Stegostoma tigrinum: one gene and its partner. The protein of the gene in region 2 interacts with the protein of the main gene of each other region in a pairwise test. Links are inferred from orthologs where the notes say so. Each region holds a gene or a part of one and is shown on either strand. Other genes may lie near its edges.

Region 1 (8,078 bases), on a different chromosome or scaffold from region 2:
ACACTTGGGATATCGTGTTCAGTTTTGTCACCTTGCCTCAGGAAGGATGTTATTAAACTGGAAAAAGAGTGCAGAAGAAACATACAGGGATTTTGCCAGGACTCAAGGGGCTGAGTTACAGGGAGAGGTTGGACAAGCTAGGACTTCTTTCTTTCGAGCTTAGGGGGCTGAGGGGGGGGGATCTTACAGAATTGTATAAGATTATGAGAAGCACAATAGGTTGAACGCACTCAGTCTTTTTCCCAAGGCTGAGGAATTCAGGACCAGAGGGCATCAGTTTAACATAAGAGGGGAAAGAATACATGAGAACCTGAGGGGCAACTTTTTTTGTTTTACACAGAGGGTGGTACACTTATGGAATGAGCTGCCAGATGTGGTACAGGTGGCTACATTAACAATACTGAAAAGGCATTTGGACGAACACATGGATAGGAAAGGTTTCGGAGGATGTGGGCCAAGTGCAGGAAAATGGGGTTAGCATGGATGGACATTTTGGTTGGCATGGACCAGTTTGAGCCAAAGGGCCTGTCTCCATGCTGTAGGACTCTATAGTAATACACAACCTCTACAAGGCATGTCAGACCATTGGCATGGATACTATCACATGTGGAAACACCACCCAGCACATACAGAGCAGATACTCATATGACTTGGCCAATGTTATTGACTTACATGCTGCAGGCAAGGATGCCCGATTGGCGAGACCATGCAGATGCTACAAAAAAAAAATGGGTGAATGGACACCGCACAACAATTGTCAGACAGGAATGTTCCCTCCTAGTTGGGGAACACTTCAACAGTCAAGGTCATTCAGCTTCCGTTCTTCAGGTAAGTGTCCACAAAGGCACCCTTCGAGATACACAGGCCTCCAGGCTGAAAAGTAACCTTCCACCACCATTTTCGGTCTTCTACCTCGAGCCACTTCTGTATCCAAATGGCTGGTTCTGCTCATATTCCATACAATGTAACCTTGCTAACCAGGCTACCATAAAGGAACTTTGTCAAACTTCGTACTGAAGACCACCACTCTACCCTATTCAATCCTCTTCATTAAATTAAAGTTTTTTGAAGAAGTAAAGTTCGTGAGACACAGTTTCCCACACACAAAACTACGTTGACTATCCCTAATCAGTCCTTGCCTTTCCATATACAGGAACATGAAAATCCTGTTCCTCAGGAGTCCTTCCAACAACTTGCCCAGCATCACATTACATTTTGAATTGAATATTTTACAAAATAGCTAAGACAAATTGTTTAAGGCCCAAAACGTCAGCTTTTGTGCTCCTAAGATGCTGCTTGACCTGCTGTGTTCATCCAGCTCCACACTTTATCTCAGATTCTCCAGCATCTGCAGTTACCATTATCTCTGAAGACAAATTGTTTGACCATATATCTTCACAAAAACACTTATTTAAGACACATCTGATTGTCTTATCTGACCACAGCCACATAAGACAAGAATATAGACTGACCAAGGGAGTATTCGTTCATTGCTGGTGTCAAATTTTGCTTTTAATACATGAATGAAACGTTCTACATTCAACAAGTTAACTGCAAGAGAGTCAGAGTTATACAGCATGGAAGCAGAGCCTTCAGTCCAACTCATCCATGCCAACCAGACATTGTTGTTAAACTTTGCTTCTAATATATGAACAAAATGTTCTGCATTCACCAAATTATCTCAGTTATACAACATGGAAAGAAAGTGTTCGGTCCAACTCGTCTATGCCAACCAGATATCTTAAACTGACCGAGTCCCATTTGTCAGCATTTTGCCCGTATCCCTCAAAACCCTTCTATTCATGTACCCAGATGCCTTTAACATACTAGATACATTCATTCATTCACAGTAAGTGTCAGGCACAGTGCAAGTAATTAAAAAACTAGTCTCTAACCAAAAAAATGAAACTTTCCCACGTCTAAATATTGTTAGTTTCTTTATAAACAACAACATTTTCATGGGATGTTACTTCTCTCCTCATAATCACAGCAACTGTGCGTTTACTTGCTAATGAACTGAGCCGATCGGCTGATTTTTGATGCATTAACCATGAGTTATGTAGTGATATATCATAACGGGAAGGCAGCAGTCATCATTCCCCGCAGCATCTCAGGAGCACAAAAGCTGGCATTTCGGGCCTAGACCCATCAGAGAGGGGGATGGGGTGAGGGTTCTGGAATAAATAGGGAGAGAGGGGGAGGCGGACCGAAGATGGAGAGAAAAGAAGATACGTGGAGAGGAGAGTATAGGTGGGGAGATAGGGAGGGGATAGGTCAATCCAGGGAAGACGGACAGGTCAAGGAGGTGGGATGAGGTTAGTAGGTAGGAGATGGAGGTGCGGCTTGGAGTGGGAGGAAGGGATGGGTGAGAGGAAGAACAGGTTAGGGAGGCAGAGACAGGTTGGACTGGTTTTGGGATGCAGTGGGGGGAGGGGACGAACTGGGCTGGTTTTGGGATGCAGTGGGGAAGGGGAGATTTTGAAGCTGGTGAAGTCCACATTGATACCATTGGGCTGCAGGGTTCCCAAGCGGAATATGAGTTGCTGTTCCTGCAACCTTCGGGTGGCATCATTGTGGCACTGCAGGAGGCCCATGATGGACATGTCATCTAAAAAATGGGAGGGGGGAGTGGAAATGGTTTGCGACTGGGAGGTGCAGTTGTTTATTGCGAACCGAGCAGAGGTGTTCTGCAAAGCGGTCCCCAAGCCTCCGCTTGGTTTCCCCAATGTAGAGGAAGCCACACCGGGTACAGTGGATGCAGTATACCACATTGGCAGATATGCAGGTGAACCTCTGCTTAATGTGGAAAGTCATCTTGGGGCCTGGGAATTCCTCCAACTTCCTACAGACTAAGGGGGTGGCCATGGGCACCCGCATGGGCCCCAGCTATGCCTGCCTCTTTGCAGGTTACGTGGAACAGTCCCTCTTCCGAACCTACACAGGCACCAAACCCCACCTCTTCCTCCGCTACATTGATGACTGTATCGGCGCCACCTCTTGCTCCCCAGAAGAGCTTGAACAGTTCATCCACTTCACCAACACCTTCCACCCCAACCTTCGGTTCACCTGGCCATCTCCAGCACATCCCTCACCTTCCTGGATCTCTCAGTCTCCATCTCAGGCAACCAGCTTGTAACTGATGTCCATTTCAAGCCCACCGACTCCCACAGCTACCCAGAATACACCTCCTCCCACCCACCCTCCTGCAAAAATTCCATCCCCCATTCCCAATTCCTCCGCCTCCGCCGCATCTGCTCCCACGATGAGGCATTCCACTCCCGCACATCCCAGATGTCCAAGTTCTTCAAGGACCGCAACTTTCCCCCCACAGTGATCGAGAACGCCCTTGACCGCGTCTCCCGCAACACATCCCTCACACCCCACCCCTGCCACAACCGCCCAAAGAGGATCTCCCTCGTTCTCTCACACCACCCCACCAACCTCCAGATACAACGCATCATCCTCTGACACTTGCGCCATCTACAATCCGACCCCACCACCCAAGACATTTTTCCATCCCCACCCCTGTCTGCTTTCCGGAGAGACCACTCGCTCCGTGACTCCCTTGTTCGCTCCACACTGCCCTCCAACCCCACCACACCCGGCACCTTCCCCTGCAACCACAGGAAATGCTACACTTGTCCCCACACCTCCTCCCTCACCGCTATCCCAGGCTCCAAGATGACTTTCCACATTAAGCAGAGGTTCACTTGCACATCTGCCAATGTGGTATACTGCATCCACTGTACCTGGTGTGGCTTCCTCTACATTGGGGAAACTAAGCGGAGGCTTGGAGACCGCTTTGCAGAACACCTCCACTCGGTTCGCAATAAACAACTGCACCTCCCAGTCGCAAACCATTTCCACTCCCCCTCCCATTCTTTAGATGACATGTCCATCATGGGCCTCCTGCAGTGCCACAATGATGCCACCCGAAGGTTGCAGGAACAGCAACTCATATTCCGCTTGGGAACCCTGCAGCCCAATGGTATCAATGTGGACTTCACCAGCTTCAAAATCTCCCCTTCCCCCACCGCATCCCAAAACCAGCCCAGTTCATCCCTTCCCCCCCAATGCACCACACAACAAGCCCAGCTCTTGCCCTCCACCCACTACATCCCAAAACCAGTCCAACCTGTCTCTGCCTCCCTAACCTGTTCTTCCTCTCACCTATCCCTTCCTCCCACTCCAAGCCGCACCTCCATCTCCTACTTACTAACCTCATCCCACCTCCTTGACCTGTCCGTCTTCCCTGGACTAACCTATCCCCTCCCTACCTCCCCACCTATCTTCTTTTCTCTCCATCTTCGGTCCGCCTCCCCCCCCGCTATTTATTCCAGAACCTTCACCCCATCCCCCTCTCTGATGAAGGGTCTAGGCCCGAAACGTCAACTTTTGTGCTCCTGAGTGCTGCTGGGCCTGCTGTGTTCATCCAGCCTCACATTTCATTATCTTGGATTCTCCAGCATCTGCAGTTCCCATTATCACAGCCATCATTCCCCACCCAGTCCCATGGCCTCAGTTCCAGCCCCCGTAATTCCGATTGCCCAATTACCTATTTCCTCCCCGTGCTCCATGTCAATTGCTGCGCCACGTCACACGCCGCCTCCTCCTACAACGGATTTCCTTGATTCAAACCAATTCGAAGCAACAAAAAAGAAAATCAAATATAAATTTTGACAGGCCGCTGCTCGAATTAAACGTGATTCTGATGTTTTATCCTCCCACTTCGCAGGAAACATTAAGCCCTTGGAAGAGGCAAATTAAAAAACTACAAGTCCACAGAGATAGCGTCGATCTTCCCCGGCGTTAGTTTCTCGGGAATGCCCACCCTGTCAACGGCCAGTTTTAACTGCAGCATGAGTCGGTCATTGGTGAAACACAGATACCAACACAGTCACACCATGAGAACTCAGACCCCAGCACGTCCCCAAACCACAGATGTCATAACCAAGAGAGAGCGCATGTGCAATCTCCTCCCCTCCCTTCCGAGCCCAGACTGCGTGCGCGCCGAGCCTGCCTCAAGCAAAATGTGCGCTCTTTAGAAAGTAAGTGTAAACTCTCTTGACTGCCTGCCCAGGAAATATTTAAATTCAGTATTTTCTTTCTGGCAGACTGGGCCCATGCATTTTCCACACAGATTTTCTTCCCTTCGTTTTAATTTCCTGATTCACTTGTCTGGCCACTGTTATTTGATATTCCAATTAATTTAGTTATTTTACACCAGACCTTTGGAATGTGTTTGCGGCAGTTTTATGGCTTTAATTGCCCGATAAATATCGGAGAAGAATTCGTTCATTCAGATCATCAAGTCAGCTCTGCCATTCGATTAAGGCCAATATGTTTCTCAATTATATTCTCTTGCCTTCCCCCTGTAACCTTTGATCCCCTTCCTAATCAAAAACCTATCTTTGTCTTAAATACACTCAATGACTTGGTTATCACAGCATTCTGCAGCAACCAATTCCACAGATTCACCACTTCTATCTGAAGAAATTCCTCCTCAACTCAGTTCTCAAGGGTCCTCCCTTCACTTTTAAGCTGCACCCTCAGTTCCCTGTCTCCTCTACTGGTGGAAACGTCATCTCTGCATCCACTCTATGCAGGCCTGTCAGTATTCTGTAAGTTTCAATGAGATCTCTTCCTCATCCTGGATGAGCAGCATGGACAAAATGGGCTGAAGTGCCGTAGACATCTACGACTCAATAACTCAACCGAGTACAGAACCACAATCCTTAACTGCTCCATATATGACAATCCTTCATGCCCAGGATCATCATTGTTCTCAGGGTCACCGGACCTGAAACATTAACTCATTTTTTTTCATCTGCCAGACCTGCTGAGCTTTTCCAGCAACTTCTATTTTTGTTCCTGATTTACAGCATCCACAGTTCTTTCAGTTTTGTTCAGGTCATGGGTGACACGGTGGCTCAGTGGTTAGCAATGCAGCCTCACAGCGCCAGGGACCCGGGTTCGATTCCTGCCTCCCGTCTGTGTGGAGTTTGCACGTTCTCCCCATGTCTGCGTGGGCTTCCTCCAGGTGCTCAGGTCTCCACCCACAGTCCAAAGATGTGCAGGTTAGGTGGATTGGCCATGCTAAATTGCCCATAGTGTTCAGGGGTGTGTGGGTTATAGGGGCATGGTTCTGGGTAGGATGTTTCAAGGAGCGGTGTGTACTCGTTGGGCCAAAGAGCCTGTTTCCACACTGTAGGGAATCTAATCTAGTATTTAACTCACTATTACATCTCTGCTAGGCATGCCCACCTTGAAGAAGTTTTGCTCCTCTTTCCAACGGGATTTCCATTTCCATCTTCTTGCCCACCGACATTAATTGTCACTCGCAGTGTTTAACCAAGTATTTGCTAAAACTCGTTTCCACAGCCATATCACATTCCTCAGTGACTGCCTCAGGCTTAACTCACCCCTTGTGGATTCTAACTGAATTTTCATCCCTCATGTTTTGAATTCTCCCAGAATCACAGTTATCTCCATGATGTTCAATGTTCCACGGACAATTACTCTTGCCACATCCTGAGATCCACTCTCTCTGCCATGTGGCGTCACATGCTCAGACTCAATATTTCTCTCCAATAGCGTCACAACATGCTGGCTCAGAGCTGCACCACTCTACAGTTTCATTTCATCCTCCAGCTCATTCGCCGTGCTAACATGAAACATTTTCTTTTCCTTTCAGGCATCAAGGTCCACAAGATGCAACTTCTCAAAGCTACCCATGGCTCTCTGGAACCTTCCTCTCCCTTCCTCCCCTCCGATTCCATTCCCTCTTCCAAGTCCACCTCCTGTCAGCTATTCACCATCCCTCTTAACCTTCTGCTCTCTGATGGTGAATGTTCTGTACTCAGCAACAGCCTCAGCCTTATTCCTCTGCGTCCCTACCTGAACAAATTTCAGATATGACATAATGCCGAACTGTTCTTTCGCTGTCTTCAGCTCCGTGCCCATTTCTTCAGGCAACAGTTCAAAAACACAAGAATTTTTTTTAAGTTGTGAGGAAGGATCACTGGACCCAAAATGTTAACTCCTAATTTTTTCTTCGCAGATGCTGCCAGATCTGCTGAGCTTTTCATTCAACTTCTGTTTTTGTTCATTCTTGTAAGCCTCCTCTGACCCCCTCCAACATCAGCACATCTTTCCTTAGAGACAGGACCTGTCCTTCTGTCTATCTTTGTGTCATTAGCAAACTTAACACCAATTCCTGCAGCTCCTTTGTTCAGATCAGCAATGATTAATTTGAATAGCTGCGGTCCTGACACTGAATCCTGTGGAACTGCACTAGTCACCAGCTGCTACCCTGAAAAAGACAACTTTAAACTCAGCCTTCTGCCAGTTAGCCAATCCTCAATCCATGCCAGTACCTCATCCCACACACAATAGCCTCTCATGTTATTTATCAGCCATCTGTGTAACACATTGTCCAAAATCATCTGGAAATTCAAAAACAGATTATGTGTACTGGCTCCCCTTCATCTATCTTGTCATTGCCTGTAGGATTGAGCGAAAATCCTTATCATTTAAAATACCGGACTAAAACCCTGGGCTTTAAAAATTAAATAAAAAGGCAGCTAGGCTATGCTCTGAGCAAATACACAGTAACAGAGACAGCTGCCTGGAACTATTGTTCAATTACAAAATCTAATTCACACCTCAACCCTAAAAGAATAATTCACTAGACCTAAGAAACCAACTTAATCCAGACATCACGGAGCCTTTCCAGATACCAAGACATCCAATTTCAATTAAGAAGCAGGAAAATTGATGTTCCGGGTCAGGACCCTTCTTCACAATAAACCCATTTCTGAAGAAGAGTCCCATCAACTTTCCTGCTCCTCTGATGCTGCCTGGCCTGCTGTGTTCCTCCAGCTCCACACTGCTGTCTCTGACTCCATCATCTACAGTTCATGCTGTTTCCAACTTCAATTAATATTCATTTACAGAAATACCAGACATTCCATCTATTCAAAATACATTTACACTTACTCTAAACTACCAAGAAGCCATTTCACGTCAAAAGTGGGGCAACAGTAGTACAATACAACTGGGAAGCACAGATTTGGCAC
Region 2 (7,470 bases):
GAAAAAATAAGGGAAATAAAAGCTGAAATTCTCTTGTGTGAGCTCTCAAAGGTTTAACAACGAAGGAAAGTACTTGCTTCAAAGATGGACCAGGGAAACAAGGCTCAGGGGCTGCAGTTGTAGACAAAAAAGCAGCACCTGATGATGGGAACGAGGGTCTTCAGCACCCATTGAGCAGTGTGCCAAGACAGGATTCATTGAAGATGTTGAAGTTACATGTAGATGAGTGAAGGGCATTGCAGGAGATGTTGCATCATTGGAGATACTATCATCTACATCCATCGCAATGTCCAGCCACATTCCTAAACAGGAAGGATTCACTCCCTCAAAGTCCAGCTCTTTTGTGACCACAGGCAACAGTTCCTGCAGGTGTATACCTGCTATCCAGGGAACTGTCAAAGTATTTACATTCCACACAACTCCCAGGTTCCTCAAATGTTCACTTCTCAATATCATCTCCACAGCTGCATTATGTGGTTCCCCCAGAGGTACTTCTAATGACCCTAATATGAAACTCTCAGACTGATGCTAAGCAGGGCTACAATGCCATCCATGCATTCACGAGGGCATTCTTCTAATAGACAATTAATATCTGAAAATGCTGTGATCCAAGATGGACAAGTTAAATCTGGGATACAATCATGTTTGATAGGTCACACTTTCTTTATTTTGGTTAATGTGGTGCACAGTCATTGAAATTTGGTCACATAAAACTGCAGCCTTTCTTCATCAGAAGAACACAAAAGAAACCAAGCAAAAATTAGAACGCAGCTTGAAAGATCTTAAAACACACAGCAAAACCGATTCTCATCCTGTTTCTTAACACACCTGTTATAGAGACTCAAATCCAGAGAAATTATCTCTCTATATCAAATCTTTAAGCTTGACTTAACTCATTCTCCTCAGTCTCTTCCTGTGAATTGTTAAGTAATCTTATATGAATATTCACAGAACTGAGAGCTTAGATTTCTCAGCTTTGAATAATCTGCACATTTATCAAGAAACACTGCTGGTTTACTCGTTTCACAAAATGATTTTTATACAGAGGTAACTGTGCTTTCCATGAACAGTCTTATACTCATTTTGAGGAGAAAAACTATATTTGCTTCAGGTCTCCTTCAAATAGCACTCAAAGCTTTCAATCTCTGAGTTTTCTAAGCTAAAATCAATCCTTGATTATCTTGAACCCAAAACAAGCTAATGGCCTTCAATATTTACCCATCTGTCATAAAAACAATCGATCATTATGCTCCGGGGCATCCTTGCTCTCTTGCACATATTGGATTAGATCTGACTGAGTTATTTTTTAAACCCTTCAGTAATCAACCCCATATGCCACAATTTGAAAACTGAAACTCTGAAAATGACATTAATACAAACATACAAACCTAATACCTTTTATCATAATGTTTTTTTTTCTATTCATTTTGTGGGATGTGGGCATCGCTGGCTTGCCAACGTTTATTGACCATCCCCAGTTGCCCTTGAGAAGGTGGTGGTGAGCTGCCTTCTTGGACTGCTGCAGTCCACCTGCTGTGGGTTGACCCACAATGCTGTTAGGGAGGGAATTCTAGGATTTGGACCCAGTGACACCGAAGGAACGGTGATATATTTCCAAGTCAGGATGGTGAGTGGCTTGGAGGGGAACGTGGAGGTGGTGGTGTTCCCATATATCTGCTGCCCTTGTCCAACTAGATAGAAGTGGTCGTGGATTTGGAAGGTGCTGTCTGAGGATTTTGGTGAATTTCTGTAGTGCATCTTGTAGACGGTACACACTGCTGCTACTGAGCATCAGTGGTGGAGGGAGTGAATGCTTGTGGATATGATGTCAATCAAGTGATCTGCTTTGTCATGGATGGTGTCAAGCTTTTTGAGTCTTGTTGGGGCTACACTCTTCCAGGCAAGTGGGGAGTATTCCATCACATTCCTGACTTGTGTCTTGTAGATGGTGGGCAGGCTTTGAGGAGTCAGGAGGTGAGTTACATGCTGCAGTATTCCCAGCTTTTGGCCTGCTATTGTAGCTAATCTGTCAATGTGGTGAGTCCAGTTGAGTTTCTGATCAATGGTAACCCCCAGGATGTTGATAGTGGGGGATTCAGTGATGGTAACACCATTGAATGTCAAGGGGTGATGGTTAGATTGTCTCTTATTGGTGATGGTCATAGCCTGGCAGTTCTGTGACACAAATGTCACTTGCCACTTGTCAGCCCAAGCCTGGATATTGTCCAGATCTTGTTGCATGTGAACACGGACTGCTTCAGTATAGCTGAGGAGTCACGAATGGTGCTGAACATTATGCAATCATTGGCGAACATCCCCATTTCTGACTTTCTCATGGAGGGAAGGTCATTGATGAAGCAGCTGAAGATGGTTGAGCCTAGGACACTACCTTGAGGAGAGCCTGCAGAGATGTCCTGGAGCTGAGATTATTGACCTCCTACAACCACAACCACAACCATTTCCTATGTGTCAGGTACGACTCCAACTACTGGAACGTTTGCCCGTGATACCCATTAATTCCAGTTTTGCCAGGGCTCCTTGATGCCATACTCAGTCAAATGCAGCCTTGATATCAAGGGCTGTCACTCTCACCTCACCTCTAGAATTCAGCTCTTTTGTCCATGTTGGAACCAAGGCTGTAATGAGATCAGGAGCTGAGTGACCTTAGTGTAACTCAAACTGGCCGTCACTGAGCAGGTTATTTCTGAGCAGGTATTGCTTGTTAGCACTGTTGGTGACAGCTTCCATCAGTTTACCGACAATCGAGCGGAGACTGATGGGGTGGTAATTGGCCGGGTTGGATTTGTCTCTGCCTGGATGATCAGAGGGCGCACTCTGGAATTCGCCAGACAGAACTGTGATTGTTTGCTGTGTACTAAACAACTTAGCTCATTTCTGAGATAGTAAGATCTGCTGATGCTGGAGTCAAAGATAACACAGTGTGGAGCTGGGAGAACACAGCAGGCCACGCAGCATCAGAGGAGCAGGAAAGCTGACGTTTCGGGTCGGGACCCTTCTTCAGAGGAAGATTTCTGAAGAAGGGTCCCAACCTAAAACATCAGTTTTCCTGCTTCTCTGATGCTGCCTGGCCTGCTGTGTTCTCCCAGCTCCACACTGTGTTACCTCTTAGCTCATTTCTGTTGTGAGAATGGAGAAGAGAGAACAATGGGCCATCCAACTGCCTCCTGAGACGAGAAAGAAAAGGAATCTGATCGAGCTTTCGCATGGCCCAATGCTGGTAATGGCTAATTATGGCATACAAGCATTTGTGCCTTCAAGAGAATGCTTGTTTCATACCTCTAAAACATTAAGATACTTTATTTGCATTAATTGTAAGTTAATTTGTTTCCTTGGCATCAATATTTCCTGGTGAGTTACCTGACCAGAGCATCAGCACAGAATTTGCAGGATTACAGGGGAATTGAGCTTTTACGAGTCGCCCAAGCCTCGATTTTCTCATTGACACCATTGTCAGTAGTGCTCTTTTTAAAGTCAGTCACTCCTAAGTTGGTACTGATTGTGGAACTGGAAATGGGGGAACAGAAGTAAATTGCTAATGGCATACAGTTACAACTTCAGGTTTAAAATCTATGGATTCTACAATGATTGAGGTAGTAGCTGGGTCTGGCTGAACTAAGGTTGGGTAGATGCTATGCATCTTGGTTTCATTGAAAATCCAGCAAGCAGGGAGACAGTGTTTACAATGATATACATAAATGTTGGGAAGAACAAAAGAAGAAAGTGCCAGTTTATTTACCCTCTCCAGGCTTTGGGCTATGTCCACTGTGCTTAGTCCTGTTCCAGTAAATGTGTCTTTCTCTGAACTTCAGCATGTGGCTTACAGTTTATCCTTATTCCAGCCCCATAACTTCTGCAGCCGTACCCTGCTTTGTTTATCCAATATTCTTCTCCCTGCCCTAATGCAATACATTATTTTCCAAGCCTTTGCGTTGGCCTTGTGCCTGGATTGTTGCCCTTCCAGTTGCAGAATTAGATGGATTCCTGTTAAACAAAGGAGTAACAAATTATTGGGGATAGGGGGGAATGTGGAGTAATCAGATTTGCCAAACTTTGGGGCGAGCTCGAAGCGCAGAATGGCCTAGTCCTGCTCCTCGTTTGTATGTTTGCACGCATCAGTGTTTACTATTTTAGTACTTTTTCTAATCTCCGCTTGTATTCTTCCTGGGCCAACATTATTACCTTTGAATTTCCCCAATACCTACATCATTAATTTTCCCTTTGTCCTATTACTATGTGTTATGACTGTCCCTATCTTTTCCATGTTTAATTTCGAATTCCTGAAACTTTTCCCGTTTTATCAGCGACCCGCCTACTCGCTGAATGCGTCGCCATTGATTGGTCGGTGCCGGGCAGGAGCCTGAGCCTGATTGGTTGAGTCTAGCTGACAGATTCTGCGGCAGTCCTGTTCGGCTCGGCTCGGCTCTGGGACCCGGGGAGCAGCGGTGGCCGTTGCGGGAGGGTCGCTTCCAGCCTGAGCTAGGCTCGGGCGCGGTGTGCTTGGTGAGTATAATGCTAATTTCCTGAACAGGGAGAAGTGCATTATCATCCTCACATCGGATAAGGGGCGGTGCAGGCTACAAGACACCTATTTGATGGAATGTGGTCGGTAGGGATCTACCCCTGTCTGCAGCGTCGTTGGGGGGGGGGCGTTATACCTAGGCTGAGCTTCAGCGGCAGCCGGGGTGGACTGGGCGTTTTGGGTCACAGCGGGGGTGCCTCTCCTGTCTGATAGGAGACCAGAGGGAGAGTGCTGTTTGTTTTTAAAGCCCTGCAGTGGTCTCCAGGTGCCAAACATGAAAACACGGCAGCGGAGAAAGCAGCTGCGTTAGCCAAAGACGGGGGTGGGTGGGAGAAAATCATTTGTCAACACAGATTGAATCAGGAGCACCTGACCAGAGAGAGCGAGAGAGAGAGCCAGGTCATTCTCACCAGAAGGACGTTGTTGCTTTCAGCAGCACGACGTTATAACACACAAGTCACCGGTTTCCCCCTCTTGCATTCTCTCAGGGCGAGAGCCTTAACCATCGGCCTGGCGACTCCGTTCAGCCGGCTGGTTCCGTTCTGTCCGAGGTGCGGATTTAACCCATGAGTAGCCCAGCTGCGAGCTAACCCTGCATTGCAGCTCTGTGGACTAACACCAGCTGGTAGGCATTAGTCTGAATGAATTCTGTTTCTGCAATTTTAGTTTATTAAGCTTGCGTTTTGATGTTTTTTTAATTACTAAGTGAAGGTATTTTCCATGGCTCGAATTCTTTCTGTAGATTGTAAGTAAGGTTAGGAGATGGTGTTTTCGCTCAGGCTACTGTACAGGCTGTTTCCCTGGCAACAGCATCCTCCTAGTGTCATTATGTGCACCTGTACAATTCCACTGCAATGCACAATGTGACCCTTCCAGCATTCCAATGGGCCTCCTTGAATTTGAGCCTGGAATGTGGGGTCTAGTGCATGTACTATTAACTAGCCCTTGAATTTGCTACTTTTCTTTGTCTGTGGTGGAAAATCATGGCAGATCCCTCTCCTGCATTTCTGGCATATCAAAGGTAATTGATCAAATGGTAGTAAATAGTATTGAGGTACAGATCAGCTATGATCTTATTCAAATGAGAAATAGGCAGAATGGGCTTGATATTTATATATTTATGTGAATTAAACTTTTTTGGTCATCTTATTGCTGCTGCATGAAGATATTTCTTGTCACAATTAAACCTGTTACACAGAGTAATGAGTTTAAAGGTTTTGATCAGTTTATTATTTGGTTTTGGGGTTGGCTAGATTGAGCAGAAAAAGTGCTGTGCCTGCTCTTGACCTTGTCATGTTATGTTGGTTAGTGTGGGAGGTACTGTTTCACCTCTGGGGCGATGGTATCAGTATCCTGGGACTGTGGGATGAGACGGTGTTTGCTAAGGAAGCCTTTCAGGTGTAGCAGGTATCTGGGAGTCTTCCTGGGGCAACCAGGTATTCAGCAACCACGGGGTTACGTACAAACCAACTCCACACCACCTCCCTTCTAGCATTGATTGTTACCTTTGTACTGAGGGAAATATGCAGTGGGGACAAATGGGACAATGTTGGTCAATTTCTATTCAACACTCCCTTTGCCAAAACAGTTGTGTTAGCTAGTTTCAGAGATAACCGGGTACATCCAAAATCATCATGCCCCCTAACCTGACTGCATTTAAATACGTGTAGCTGTGTTCATTGCTCAGCTGAATTGCCCTTTTATTTCTCCTCAACTTCAGTTGTGCCTAGTTCCACAAAGTTCTTCCTCTCTTCATCTTCACTGTATTGAAACTAAAAACCATCATGCACAGCTAGTGCCTCCTTTTACCAGGAGTTCAAAATGGTGAAGCCTTTACCCTGTGTATGTTGTGCTGAGAAACCCACTCATCTCTGACTATGTAACTGGGTGGAGGCATTTCATCTCTCAGAAATGAGGGTACCATCCTGGCCAAAGTTTGGGTTTGGGTGATTTCCTGATTTCTTGTCTCATGGGTCAAATTCTTTTTTCCTCCTTTTAAACAGTTAAAATGCTGCTGACGCTTGTGATGTAATAACATTCTGTGGTTTGGCAAAGGGAAGAGTTCCATGCGGTGATAGATCAAATCTAAGTTATAGTGCTCACTTTACAGCCCTGAGTTGCTGGAATATGTTTTAGCACATGTGGAAATATGACATCCCAGTGGTACATGTGCTACAGTTGATCCTAGAGCAGTCTCCTGACCTGGTTGACAACACCTGTGTAGTTTATAACTACATTCAATAAAGCTTCACTCTCTGTCCTCTGTTTTACCCTATTCAGCCTGATCATCTCCAACTGAGACTGGAAAAGCCCCAAATTTCTTCAGCCTGTTCTTGTTGGTATTGCTTCACTGGGGTAATGCTGCAGGCACCTCGGGCACAGAGTGATTGATTTATAAAGCAGGAATTATGAGTTGTTCTCAGGTGCAGTTGGTTGGCAGTAGCAACACTGAAACGTTTTGACTCATTAAAGGGTAACACATTTGCTGTTGGTGTGCATGCTACAAAATGTCAGTAAGGAGCTGGAGTCCGTGGTATTTATACCATAAGCATTCATTGCAGAGAGAGAGGCAGACATTTGGTTTACGTATGGCTTGAAGATGCTATGCTGGGTAAGATGACAAAGCAGAATAACTGCAGTATTGTTGATGTTACTTCCCAGGCTTGTGTTCAAACCTGCCAAGCAGGGTCTAGGCCCAAAACGTCGGCTTTCTTGCTCCTCTGCTGCTTGGCCTGCTGTGTTCATCCAGCTCTACACCTTGTCACTTCCGATTCTCCAGCATCTGCAGTTCCCACTACCTCTGAAACAGGGAGCAATCTGGTTGCCAGTACAGTGATTGTTTAAATTGACTGAACGGAAGTTGCTGCGTTATGTTCAAAATCCTGCACTGGCCACTTGTACCATGTGCTGCGTGCACTTGATTCTGGTTT

Evidence for each region.
Region 1: the proteins of kifc3 (region 2) and deuterosome assembly protein 1-like interact in binary tests that used the Homo sapiens proteins (3 or more experiments, as listed by UniProt). The two-hybrid records come from large-scale screens. The link is inferred for Stegostoma tigrinum from reciprocal best matches to the Homo sapiens genes KIFC3 and DEUP1.

What each region holds. Positions count from the first base shown.
Region 1 is NC_081359.1:48,534,141-48,542,218, reverse strand, and holds the start of deuterosome assembly protein 1-like, read left to right. Parts: upstream 1-5,021; 5' UTR 5,022-5,048; intron 5,049-8,078. Other genes in the region: neutral amino acid uniporter 4-like, read right to left, coding at 4,556-4,577. UniProt on the Homo sapiens protein: Key structural component of the deuterosome, a structure that promotes de novo centriole amplification in multiciliated cells.
Region 2 is NC_081369.1:11,092,554-11,100,023, reverse strand, and holds the start of kifc3 (kinesin-like protein KIFC3), read left to right. Parts: upstream 1-4,414; 5' UTR 4,415-4,521; intron 4,522-4,950; exon of another isoform or gene 4,951-5,083; intron 5,084-7,470. UniProt on the Homo sapiens protein: Minus-end microtubule-dependent motor protein. Involved in apically targeted transport. Required for zonula adherens maintenance.